Saccharomyces cerevisiae S288C: one gene and its partners. The gene in region 3 interacts genetically with the main gene of each other region. Each region holds a gene or a part of one and is shown on either strand. Other genes may lie near its edges.

Region 1 (2,860 bases), on a different chromosome or scaffold from region 3:
GGATTATAAGTGAAATGGTGGATGATACCATGGAGAGTGTTGGGGACGTAGGGGAAGAGATGGACGAAGCTGTTGATGAAGAAGTTAATAAGATAGTTGAACAATACACAAACGAGAAATTCAAGAATGTTGACCAAGTGCCAACCGTAGAATTAGCAGCCAATGAAGAAGAGCAAGAAATTCCGGATGAAAAAGTTGATGAGGAAGCAGATAGGATGGTAAATGAAATGCGTGAAAGGCTGAGAGCTTTGCAAAACTAGAGTGTTACTGTGACTGTACAAAGAAAATAAATAAATAAGTGAATAAATAATGGTACGAATAACACAGTAAAAAGGGCACCCGTTTTTAGTGTATGGAAAAAGTTGAGTGCTTTACCCTTTTTCCATGATGACCGTTGAAACATGTACGGACTATCAAGTAATAGTGAGGGTAAAGACAGTATATACACACTTCCTTTTATTTTCGTCTCATCTTGTATTTTCATTTGAAGGACGGAATATTTACTTTTCATGGCTTGTATTTTTACTCGATTCCAACTTTTTTTCAAGCTTATCAAATTCCTTTAATGCTATTTCTTGCTCAGGATCCATGATCTGAATCACTTCTTTCACTTCATCCACATAGTGCTTCAACATGGACTCAATACCGTACTTCAAAGTCACTTCACTAGAAGAGCATGAGGTACATGCACCTTGTAATCTTAAATAAACGGTTCCAGTCTTTGGATCCCACCCACGGTAATCGATATCACCGCCGTCCTCCAAGATGGCTGGTCTTATTCTTGTATCTATCAGCTCTTCAATCAATTCGCTGACCTCTTCATCTTCTTCGGTAAGTTCAAATTTGGGCATATTTATTTTGTAGCCACCTTCTCCTTCTTCTTCTTGGACAGCATGGAATTCTTTGGATATAACATCTTCACCGTAAGCAAGTTGCTTGGTTAACAAATCTATAATTTCAGGCTTGATACTATTCCAATGGACCATTCTGTCTTTATTAATAGTGAGAAAATCATCACCTATCATTAAAGACTCCACTCCTGGACACTGCAAAAAAATTTGCTGTGCTAACTTGGAATGGTTGATGAGGTTTTCATCAGTGTTCTTAATAACTATACTCTTGGAGCCACGCGTCTGTAGCATCTCGCCATCTGTGGAGAGAAATTTTAAAGCATTTTCATTTGGAGTTGTTAAAGTCTTAATATGAATTAATCTCTGAGAATTTAAGTAAAAAATCGGAGACTTCCCCAATTTAGCCACTGATTTGAACATTGTTAGTCAATTTCTTGCTTTTTTGCTTAGATTACGCTGAGAATGCCTTATGTATTCTAATTAGTCCGCTAAATACGCTTCTTTTTATAATGATTAATAAGCAATATTGTAAGTAGATCACTGAAATTCGGAAAACTTAAATTATTTATCACTTGATACGTTAGAAGGCTATTTCTACAATCACCAGGACTCCGCTAAGTGGTCCTATAGATTTGATGAAATGCCTGCTTTGACGGTCTTGATGATACAAGCTAACGCTTAGCATGTTACTATACTCAATGTACATTGTTTTATCCTCAAGAGACCGCAGACGTTTCAATTTTGTGTTTAAAAGAACAATGGACAGTATATACGTAGTGCCAATTTTCTTCTATGGTGTATTATGCGCATTGAACATTGTAATATCCGTAATGTTGAACATAATTTGGGAATTGCTTCCGAATCTTCAACCTTCATGTATACCTCTTTTCGGCTAGAGTGTGGTACTTTAATTACTGCTTAGTTGTTTTGCCCGATTTAGATATTGCACCCGTGCACGTCACACATAAGCTTGGTCTTTTAAATAGTGTGTGAAAAAACGAACTTGAAGAAAAAGATAGAGCAAGATATATATAGGAGTAGGAATAGGGAGAGTGGAAAAAAAAACTTAGCCTCAAACTAATAGTCAAGAGGATCAACTATTCTGTTCAGGTTTTGCAGGTTAAAAATTGAAATAGAATATTTTCTCGGTAATTTCAAGAAACAGCTGGTAAAAAGGCAGTAAATTTACAGAAACTAAGAGTGTAAGGGCACAATGAGAGTATATCAGTTTTGCCGACCTTTCCAATTATTCACCTGCTTCTTATGCTACCTTCTAGTGTTCGTAAAAGCTAACAAGGAAAAGATAAGTCAAAAGAATTATCAAGTATGCGCAGGTATGTATTCCAAAGAAGATTGGAAGGGCAAAATAGACCCGTTTATATCATTCAATCTTAAAAAAATAAGTGGATTGAGTGATGAGTCTGATCCAGGCTTAGTCGTTGCAATCTATGATTTCCAAGACTTTGAGCACTTAGGTGTGCAATTGCCGGATGAAGAAATGTATTATATTTGTGATGATTATGCAATTGATATCGGGATTTGTGAAGAGGAGAATCGTGATGAGTTTATTGTTCAAGATGTTGTATATGATCCATATACTTCCACAAATAGATCTTTGGCCAATCCAATCATGACGTTTTCTCAAAATGAGGTCGGCCTTCATGATACTAGATACCCAATAAAAGAAACCGGATTTTATTGTGTTACTGCGTTCAGATCATCGACGTCTACCAAGTTCAACGCTGTGGTGAATTTCAGGAATGCTTATGGTCAGCTTGCGGGCACCGAGATCAACAAATTGCCACTATATGGTCTTTTGGCGGTCGCATACGTTGTGGCGATGGCGTTATATTCCTTCGCCTTCTGGAAGCACAAGCATGAATTGTTACCATTACAAAAGTATTTGCTGGCCTTTTTTGTATTTTTAACCGCAGAAACCATATTTGTATGGGCTTACTATGATTTGAAAAATGAAAAAGGTGATACTGCGGGAATAAAAGTTTATATGG
Region 2 (3,857 bases), on a different chromosome or scaffold from region 3:
ATCTTCTAACACCGTATATGATAATATACTAGTAATGTAAATACTAGTTAGTAGATGATAGTTGATTTCTATTCCAACAAATTATTCATCAAATACATCTCGATATCCATATTTTGGTTGCAAAGAAATAAATACCGGAGATATGATTCAGATGTGGAAGCGGTTTTAAAGTCCCAATTCATCATTATTTGCGACTCCATGGCCAAGTTGGTTAAGGCGTGCGACTGTTAATCGCAAGATCGTGAGTTCAACCCTCACTGGGGTCGTATTTTTTACTAAATTAGTTTTTTTTTAGGGAACAGACGTTAAGTTTTTTAATATTATTATGGCATATAGAATGGTGAGTAAAAATACCAAATGATGAAATGAATTTGTTTTGTGAGTCTATGATAAAATGCAGAATATAAAATTAAAAAGTTCAGAAATAAATAAATAAAAAAAAATCTAGTATCGCGGCACTTCCGTTCAATGTGCCGACGAGCAGTTACTGGGGAGTTGATTCATGCTTCTTTTGCGTGATGCAATTTAGGATTATTACTTTTTTCGTTTTGGCCGCTTACTGTAGCTGATGACAATGAGGAGTTTTGGCTGTCCTCAGTAGGATTTGTCTCAGACGCAGAATTAGCGCCATTGCATGTAGTATGAAGTGCATCTGTATCTACACCCCACTGGTAATAATCTCTCCTAACCTCCACGTAATCGTAAGCGAATTCGCCTATTTGATCTTCATCCAACCCCAATGCTTCGGCTTCCTCAGTGACTCTTAGATGGACACCCGGAATTTTACCTAATACGAAGCAAATGATGGCCGTGACCACAGCACAATAGCCGGCAGAGGCACCGATATAGGCAATTTGAATATACATTTGTTTCCAGTTATGCGTCAACCAACCACCCTTATGCTTTGTTGTGCCGTCCATTCCAATAACCCAATCAGCTGCAAATAGAGCGTTAAAAATCAATCCCACCACACCGGCGATACCGTGTTCAGCTAATAGATCTAAGGAATCATCCACTTTTAAATAATACTTTATTTTTGTTGCAAAATTACAAACAACACCCGCTATTATACCTTGGATCAAAGAGCCATATAGAGTAATACAACCCGAGCTAGGCGTGGCAGCAACTAAACCACAGATAATGCCGGAGCATAACCCAACAGTGGACCATTTTTTTTCAGATCGATAATCTAATAAACACCACGTCATTCCACCCGTGGTGGCGCTGAGACAAGTGTTCATGAACGCATATACGGACCTCATATTTGGTGACAGTGAGCTTGCAGCATTGAAAAGCAACCAACCAAACCAAAGTATAGAAGTACCCAAAGTCACCATGGAAACATTATGTGGTCTAAAGTTGATCAGGAGGTTTTCTTTTCTTCTTCCTAGAAAATAAGAATAAACGAAACCAGCCACAGCACTTAGGATTTCAATATTCCCACCGCCAGCCCAGTCTAATACCCCCCATTGGTAGGCCCAACCACCTGGGGCCCAAATCCAATAAGTGATGGGACAGTAAACCAAAGTCGCAAAAACAAAAAGAAAAACCATATGTGGAAAAAGCTTACCTCTTTCCGCAGTGGCACCAGCTATAATACTCAATGCGACACACATGAACATCATTTGGAAAATGGCATAAATCAGTTCAGGATACGTGGAATCATCCGAAATTTTGCCATAGACGTTTCTAAACCCAAATGAATCCAAGTTGCCGATAAATTTGTTGTTCGTCGCAGTCTTAGAGAATGCTAAAGAATAGCCCCAAAAATACCATTGCAGTATACCTACTAAGGTAGCCATTATCACTACCCAAATCAAAGCCAGAGCAGATTTTCTTCTTGCTAAACCGGAATAAAGAAAGCCCAGCCCCGGTACCATGAAGAAAACCAGGGCGGCACCTAAAATCATAAAAGCGACTGTGGAACTATCATATGTCTCTGTCCATAGATGTCCGTCACCCCGAGCCATGTGAACTCTAAATCTATATGTTTTCAATTGTATCTTCTAAAAAAAAAATGCCTTCGCTTTTTACAAAACAATTTCAAAAGTGATTGGACCCTTAACTAGCCTGCATTGATTGTAATAGACAATCAAAGAACCAAAAGAGAGAAGAAGCGACCGAAAGAAGACGGCTATCAGACTCAAAGCACACAACCTTATTCTACAAGATAGGAAAGGGAGAAGATATCTATCAAATTGTTGCGATAAGATGCGATAAGACAAGGAGAGGGAAAGTCCGTGCTGCATATCAGCATATCAAATCTGCTAAAACATATTAACTTAACATATATATATAATATATAAAGTATGCCATCGGGTACCTTAACTAAAAAGGGTCATAGCGTGGAAAGCGAGGAAAAACCTCGAGATGGAAAACCAGTTTATGGAAAACTTCAAAATAACTCGCCCGCCTTATCGCGGGCAAACCAGCTACGAGAGATAAGGATTTGGCGCCGAGATAAGGTGGAGATGTTTCTCCGCCGCGCGGCACTTTTTGCCGGAACTGGAACTGGTTTGAGGTAGGTCAAGAAAGTGTCAGTAAATAGGAGTGACAGAAACGGGCACATCTACTCTTCTTTTTCTTGTTTGTTTCGATTAAATGCAATACATACTCCTAAAGACATATATATATAAATATGTATGCATGCATGCATGCCTTCATAAGTATTTCTACTTCCTCTTTTTACGTTGATCGCTGATATATTCCTTCACAAAATTCCTCTTAGATTCAACATCTAACTTCCGTGAGACTAGTTTATATTTGTCGCCACCGTTTAATGCAACGCGTAATTCCTCTAAATTATCCGAGAGTACTTGTGGCTCGTTGATCTTGCATTTAACATTAATGCCCTTGTTCAGAAATCTAGATAAATACTCCATATTGGAGATGGGCAATGTGGTGATGGCAGTTTTATTAGTTTTGATTTGGATGGTCTGCAATTCAAATTTTTTAGTTTTGGCCATTGCGGGGTTCATTGTGGTTATTGAAGGGTCTATGAATTCTTTAAGTTTTTTCCCGGTTATACTAAACGGTAAGACGCTTTTACCATTACATGAGGTACCCTCAGCAAACATAAAATTCACGGTATTGCCCAATTGAGATAGCTCTGCTACCTCGTGGCCATAGAGTTTTATATCTAACCCACCGGCGAGGATGAAGTTGATGAATTCTCTTATGGAAACTTTGTATACAATGTCATTGGATGGGACCAACAACGTAACAGGCCCTTGAGCTAATAACACCACTGAAAAAGCATCTAAAGGTGAGGTACAATTGCAAATATAAAGCTTGCCCTTCTGTGGATAATGCTTGGATTTCCTTACGTCACGTTTCTTGATTCCTTGCACGGTAATTTCCTCTTTCCAACTGAATGTAAACTTCAATATCAAACCCAGTAAGTTGTTCTGGCCAGTTAGAAGGTACAGCATAATCAATGGTAGCATTATAATGGTTTTCACCCCTAGGATACCCAACAAACACGCTGTCATCACCTTACTAGGTTTCCTGATTGTGTTTGGTAGAAATGGAGCTATTCCCGTACCATTGTCTCTCCAATTGGTGTACTTTTCCATTACTTTTCTTGTATTTTGTCACCTCGTAGGAGCTACTTCTTTCACGCCAGGATCTGACAGTATTTCTATTACGTTACTCCAGTCACGTTGAGAAAAGGCTTCATCTTTTTCTTTTTTCTTGAGATAACTTTTTTCTTCTACCTTCACTCAGACCGAGATATCGGACCTCAAACATAGCGTTTTTTTTTGTAAAACACTTAAGGATGGAGGAACATGTATGCTGAGTAATTCCAGCAGAAACCATTTACTGAGAGCCTCATCTTTTGTTAAAAAATTTGTTTA
Region 3 (5,924 bases):
GTCACAAAGTGGCGTATGGCAAATGGTAGAAATTCCCAACAGTGAAGAGATCTTTGAAGCCGATATCATTTTGTTGTCTATGGGTTTCGTGGGTCCTGAATTGATCAATGGCAACGATAACGAAGTTAAGAAGACAAGACGTGGTACGATTGCCACACTCGACGACTCCTCATACTCTATTGATGGAGGAAAGACTTTTGCATGTGGTGACTGTAGAAGAGGGCAATCTTTGATTGTCTGGGCCATCCAAGAAGGTAGAAAATGTGCTGCCTCTGTCGATAAGTTCCTAATGGACGGCACTACGTATCTACCAAGTAATGGTGGTATCGTTCAACGTGATTACAAACTATTGAAAGAATTAGCTAGTCAAGTCTAAAAAGCTTGAGTTATTATTTATTTTATGATCGTATATTATTTATTTATTTATTTATTTATTTATTTATTTATTTATTTATTTATTTATTTTATTTAGTTTATTAATTTTGCTGATGAATGTTATTTCAATTAAACATAGTTTTCAAAGAACTGAAAAACCCTGATTTCTTCTTCTTCTTCTTCTTCTTCTCTTTACCATTGTCATCTTTCAAATTAAACTTATCTTCATCATCATCGTTTAAGTTATGGTTGATAGTGTTCCTGCTTGACTTTGGAGAAATTATGTTTCCAGCGCCACCTCTTCCAATAGCAAATTTTTCCGGTGCGCTTTTGCCCTTGAGCTTATTTTTAGGCTTCTTGGACGTGGACTTGATTGCCGCCAAAGCATTGCCATTGGAAGTCACCACAAACAGGTTGTCCTCGTTTGCATTGATAGTATCCTCATCCTCGATATTGCCGCCTCGTATCTCATCCTCTTCATTTCCACCATTGCTGGCCACCTTTTTTTTGTTGAAGAAAATGTTTCCTGCCCCACCTCTACCAACGACAATTGGGGCGTTGTTGTTCGGAGACGAAGTGGTGGCATGCAAAGACTGATGGCTCCTTGTAGCGCTGATACGAGACCTGGTGTTGGTCACCGGGTTTGACCCACCTTCATCCACCATATCCGAAGTTATAGGGGAAATATAATCGTCGATGTCATTGATCACGTCGTTATAGTTGATATTGTCGTTAGAGTCCAGTTGTTGGGCGGATCTCGTCAGGTGCGGATCATGAAAGATATTACCGGCACCACCTCTACCAATTGCAAAACGAGGAACCTTTTCCTGGTTGCTACCGTTATTATTGTTGTTTGCTACTGTCTTTGAATTGGATTTCAATGGAAGAAGTACGGGAGACGGCTTGGACATAGATTTATGGATGTTGCCAGCTCCGCCTCTGCCAGTGGAGACCTTGTACTCTTGTACACGTGCCTGGTTCTCCATCTCGTTTTGTGGGTTGAACGTAGCCATACTAACTTGGTCTTACGCTACTGCTGCTGCTAACGCTGCTGCTGCTTTTGCTCATATGCTTCCATTGACCGTCATTAGTATCAGCGTCAGCCTTTTTGACATAAGCCACCGCTCTGTCAGGGTAACCCTATGAAACATTTCAAAACGTTATAAAGGAACTCGTCTGGTTACAACAAGGAAATATCACTACAAACAGCTGTCCGTACGGCTCCTCAACTCTCTCAATGTTGTTCGCCTGGTCACACACAGCATAGTTTCGTCATTCGGCGCCGACGGTCGCTGTCTCTTGGAGCCTTCAAGCTCTTGTCAACCCAGGTCCGTTGTGCCGATAAAAGTAACAGCAGACCCCCACGCCCGCATCCCACTCTCTTCTCCGACCACCTCCCTCGAAGTTCTTCCCTGCCAATCCCACGTCGATCCAGCGTAGTTGGCCCCAACTGGTGCAGTAATAACCGCTTAGCGATTTTGCACTCGGAACTACATATGTATATATATATGTGTGTGTGTGTGTGGGCTGGAAAGATTTCTTGAGCTTCCGTGTTATAGTGCAATTTAAATATTGTACATCATTCCGATCCAGCTGGAAACAAAAGCAAGAACAATGTTGTGGAAGCGTACTTGCACAAGGCTAATAAAGCCTATTGCACAACCTAGAGGAAGGCTGGTGAGAAGATCATGCTACAGATACGCCTCAACAGGCACAGGCAGCACCGACAGCAGCAGCCAGTGGTTAAAATACTCTGTCATCGCCTCTTCAGCTACTCTATTCGGTTATTTGTTCGCTAAGAACCTCTATTCTAGGGAGACTAAGGAAGATTTGATAGAGAAGCTGGAAATGGTCAAAAAGATCGACCCAGTAAATTCTACGTTAAAGCTGTCCTCATTGGACTCACCAGACTATTTGCACGACCCGGTTAAGATCGATAAGGTTGTTGAGGACCTGAAGCAGGTGCTGGGAAACAAGCCTGAAAACTACTCTGATGCGAAATCCGATTTGGACGCCCATTCAGATACCTACTTCAACACGCATCACCCCTCTCCCGAGCAAAGACCTAGGATTATATTATTCCCTCATACTACCGAAGAAGTTTCCAAAATTTTGAAAATATGTCACGATAACAACATGCCAGTTGTACCCTTCTCGGGCGGAACGTCCTTGGAGGGGCACTTCCTGCCTACAAGAATTGGAGATACCATAACCGTAGACCTGTCCAAGTTTATGAATAACGTCGTAAAATTTGACAAGCTGGACCTGGACATCACCGTGCAGGCCGGTCTACCCTGGGAGGATTTGAATGACTATTTGAGCGACCACGGTTTGATGTTTGGCTGTGACCCTGGTCCAGGTGCACAGATTGGTGGTTGCATTGCTAATTCTTGTTCAGGAACCAACGCCTACCGTTACGGTACCATGAAGGAGAATATTATAAACATGACTATAGTGTTGCCGGACGGGACCATTGTCAAGACGAAGAAAAGACCCAGAAAGTCGAGCGCTGGCTATAACTTAAATGGTTTATTTGTGGGAAGTGAAGGTACCTTAGGTATTGTTACTGAAGCTACTGTCAAGTGTCATGTCAAGCCCAAAGCTGAAACTGTTGCGGTGGTATCCTTTGATACTATCAAGGATGCGGCCGCATGTGCTTCTAATCTGACTCAGAGTGGTATTCATTTGAACGCCATGGAGTTACTGGATGAAAATATGATGAAGTTGATCAACGCATCTGAATCCACGGACAGATGTGATTGGGTAGAGAAACCAACTATGTTTTTCAAGATTGGTGGGAGATCTCCCAACATTGTCAATGCTCTTGTGGATGAAGTTAAGGCTGTCGCCCAGTTAAATCACTGCAACAGTTTTCAGTTTGCTAAAGATGATGACGAAAAATTGGAATTATGGGAAGCTAGAAAGGTCGCGCTATGGTCTGTGCTAGACGCTGATAAGAGCAAAGACAAATCAGCTAAAATTTGGACAACTGATGTAGCTGTTCCTGTGTCGCAGTTCGACAAGGTTATTCACGAAACTAAAAAGGACATGCAAGCTAGTAAGCTGATCAACGCCATTGTTGGTCATGCAGGTGATGGTAACTTCCATGCATTCATCGTCTACAGAACCCCTGAAGAACACGAAACCTGTAGCCAACTTGTTGACAGAATGGTCAAGAGAGCACTGAACGCAGAAGGCACTTGCACGGGTGAACACGGTGTTGGTATTGGTAAAAGAGAGTACTTGCTCGAAGAATTAGGTGAAGCACCCGTCGATTTGATGAGAAAGATTAAGCTAGCTATTGACCCAAAGAGAATCATGAACCCGGACAAAATCTTTAAAACTGATCCAAACGAGCCCGCTAATGATTACAGGTGAGTATCTGATTTTCCTTTTTCACCCTTCACGTAAACCTGAAATATATTTCATGTAATATATATAGTTCATCCTTAAAGAAAACATACCATTTCAAAATGCCCTTTCCCAGTAGCTAATACATGCTTAAAAATGTGATATATATTATTACCATCAAATGTATTCATGATCCGGGTAGTGCCTTTTTTTCCTTCAAACACTAATGGGATGGGAAGAAACATTTCGAAAAAAGTTATGACTATTGGCAGCATCAGAGAGAATTAAACCTTACCTGTACAACGATAGCAGCTTACATCACTTCCTCGCAGTCATGGAAAAAAATACGGCACCATTTGTCGTCGATACGGCACCCACAACTCCTCCAGATAAACTTGTAGCACCTTCTATAGAGGAAGTAAATAGTAATCCCAACGAATTAAGAGCTCTTAGAGGGCAGGGTAGATATTTTGGCGTAAGCGATGATGACAAGGATGCCATTAAAGAGGCAGCACCTAAATGTAATAATTGCTCTCAAAGAGGTCATTTGAAGAAGGATTGTCCCCATATAATATGTTCGTACTGTGGGGCGACGGATGATCATTATTCTCGACATTGTCCGAAGGCTATCCAGTGTTCAAAGTGTGATGAGGTGGGTCATTACAGGTCACAATGTCCACATAAATGGAAAAAAGTTCAGTGCACTCTTTGTAAGAGTAAGAAACACTCAAAAGAAAGATGTCCTAGTATATGGAGAGCATATATTTTAGTAGATGATAATGAAAAGGCTAAGCCCAAGGTCCTTCCCTTTCATACTATATACTGTTATAACTGCGGTGGAAAGGGGCACTTTGGTGATGATTGCAAGGAAAAACGATCATCTAGAGTACCTAACGAGGATGGAAGTGCGTTCACTGGTTCTAATTTGTCAGTTGAGCTAAAACAGGAATATTACCGTCACATGAACAGAAATTCGGACGAAAATGAAGACTATCAATTTAGTGAGTCCATATACGATGAGGATCCACTACCGAGACCTTCCCATAAAAGACATTCCCAAAACGATCACTCTCATAGTGGCAGAAATAAACGTAGAGCATCGAACTTCCATCCTCCTCCTTATCAAAAGTCTAATGTCATTCAACCAACTATAAGGGGCGAGACGCTGTCACTCAATAATAATATTAGTAAAAATTCACGGTATCAAAATACAAAAGTAAACGTCTCGTCGATATCGGAGAATATGTATGGCTCCAGATATAACCCTTCTACTTATGTTGATAATAACAGCATTTCCAACTCTTCCAATTACAGAAACTACAATTCTTATCAACCATATAGGAGTGGTACCTTGGGGAAAAGAAGATAACTTTAAATAGGAAGCCCTTTAACAAGCTGTTCTTGGTTACATTATATTTTCTTAATGAAAGATTAAAGACAATACCTAATTCGACCATTAATCAAAATAGCATGTAAATTTCTTACATCTTCTTGTTGTGAAAAAAAAAGGCCTTCGTGCAATCACAGGTAATAATAATAACATATACATACATATACGTAAATACGTCTTATAACTCCTGCTACCTCATACGCTATTTTCTATTATGGCTAACATCTATGCAACTCAATTTAGTCTCTTTTTACCTTTTTCACAATGAATGTATAAAGGTCCTTTTCATCGTAATCTAACCTTCTTTTTTGTGCATTTAAACCGTCATAATCGATTAGAGCAAGTTTGTCGACAAACCGATCTTTTCTATTTAGCTTTAGTGAATCGCACAGTTTTATTCTTCCTAACCTGCAGTTTTTGAAAAATTCGCCTTTAAGAACAGTTATCTCTCCTGCCATTGATGTTACCACCAAGTGAAACGTAAGGGCGCAAACATTGTCTGTGCCTACGTCTATATCATTAATTATAACAATTGTATCATTAATCAATCCGAAATCATGGGGTATTATCCGAATAGTATCCTTGGAATTCCTTAACAAATTTTTGGTATTTTTTATTTCAAATCTATTTATCAACAAAACTCCATGTGTGTCCAATATAAAGCATAAAGAATCATCCAGCATAAATAATTTCTTGAATGAACATAAATTTCCCAATGCCTGCTTGAATTGAGCTGTCTCATCATCTATCACTTGGCCATCCACCTTCATTTGACTTTCTGCCCACTCTTCTTCATTAGTTCCATTTT

What was found.
Region 1: mutations in PAR32 (region 3) and NFU1 together harm fitness more than expected from each alone (negative genetic interaction), as found in Saccharomyces cerevisiae (2 studies listed by BioGRID).
Region 2: of PAR32 (region 3) and MEP3, changing one suppresses a phenotype caused by changing the other (phenotypic suppression), as found in Saccharomyces cerevisiae (one study listed by BioGRID).

Annotation. Positions count from the first base shown.
Region 1 is NC_001143.9:360,558-363,417, forward strand, and holds NFU1 (Nfu1p), read right to left. Parts: upstream 1,272-2,860; coding exon 501-1,271; downstream 1-500. Other genes in the region: ESCRT-III subunit protein VPS24, read left to right, coding at 1-260; PTM1 (Ptm1p), read left to right, coding at 2,065-2,860. UniProt on the Saccharomyces cerevisiae protein: Involved in iron homeostasis within the mitochondrion where it is involved in the assembly of iron-sulfur proteins.
Region 2 is NC_001148.4:810,484-814,340, forward strand, and holds MEP3 (ammonium permease MEP3), read right to left. Parts: upstream 1,971-3,857; coding exon 501-1,970; downstream 1-500. Other genes in the region: lysophosphatidic acid acyltransferase LOA1, read right to left, coding at 2,673-3,575. UniProt on the Saccharomyces cerevisiae protein: Transporter for ammonium (both charged and uncharged NH3 and NH4) to use as a nitrogen source. The affinity of MEP2 is about twenty times higher than that of MEP1. MEP3 has the lowest affinity.
Region 3 is NC_001136.10:143,655-149,578, reverse strand, and holds PAR32 (Par32p), read right to left. Parts: upstream 1,389-5,924; coding exon 501-1,388; downstream 1-500. Other genes in the region: GLT1 (glutamate synthase (NADH)), read left to right, coding at 1-376; DLD1 (D-lactate dehydrogenase), read left to right, coding at 1,990-3,753; AIR2 (TRAMP complex RNA-binding subunit), read left to right, coding at 4,061-5,095; GID12 (Gid12p), read right to left, coding at 5,356-5,924. UniProt on the Saccharomyces cerevisiae protein: Involved in resistance to cisplatin.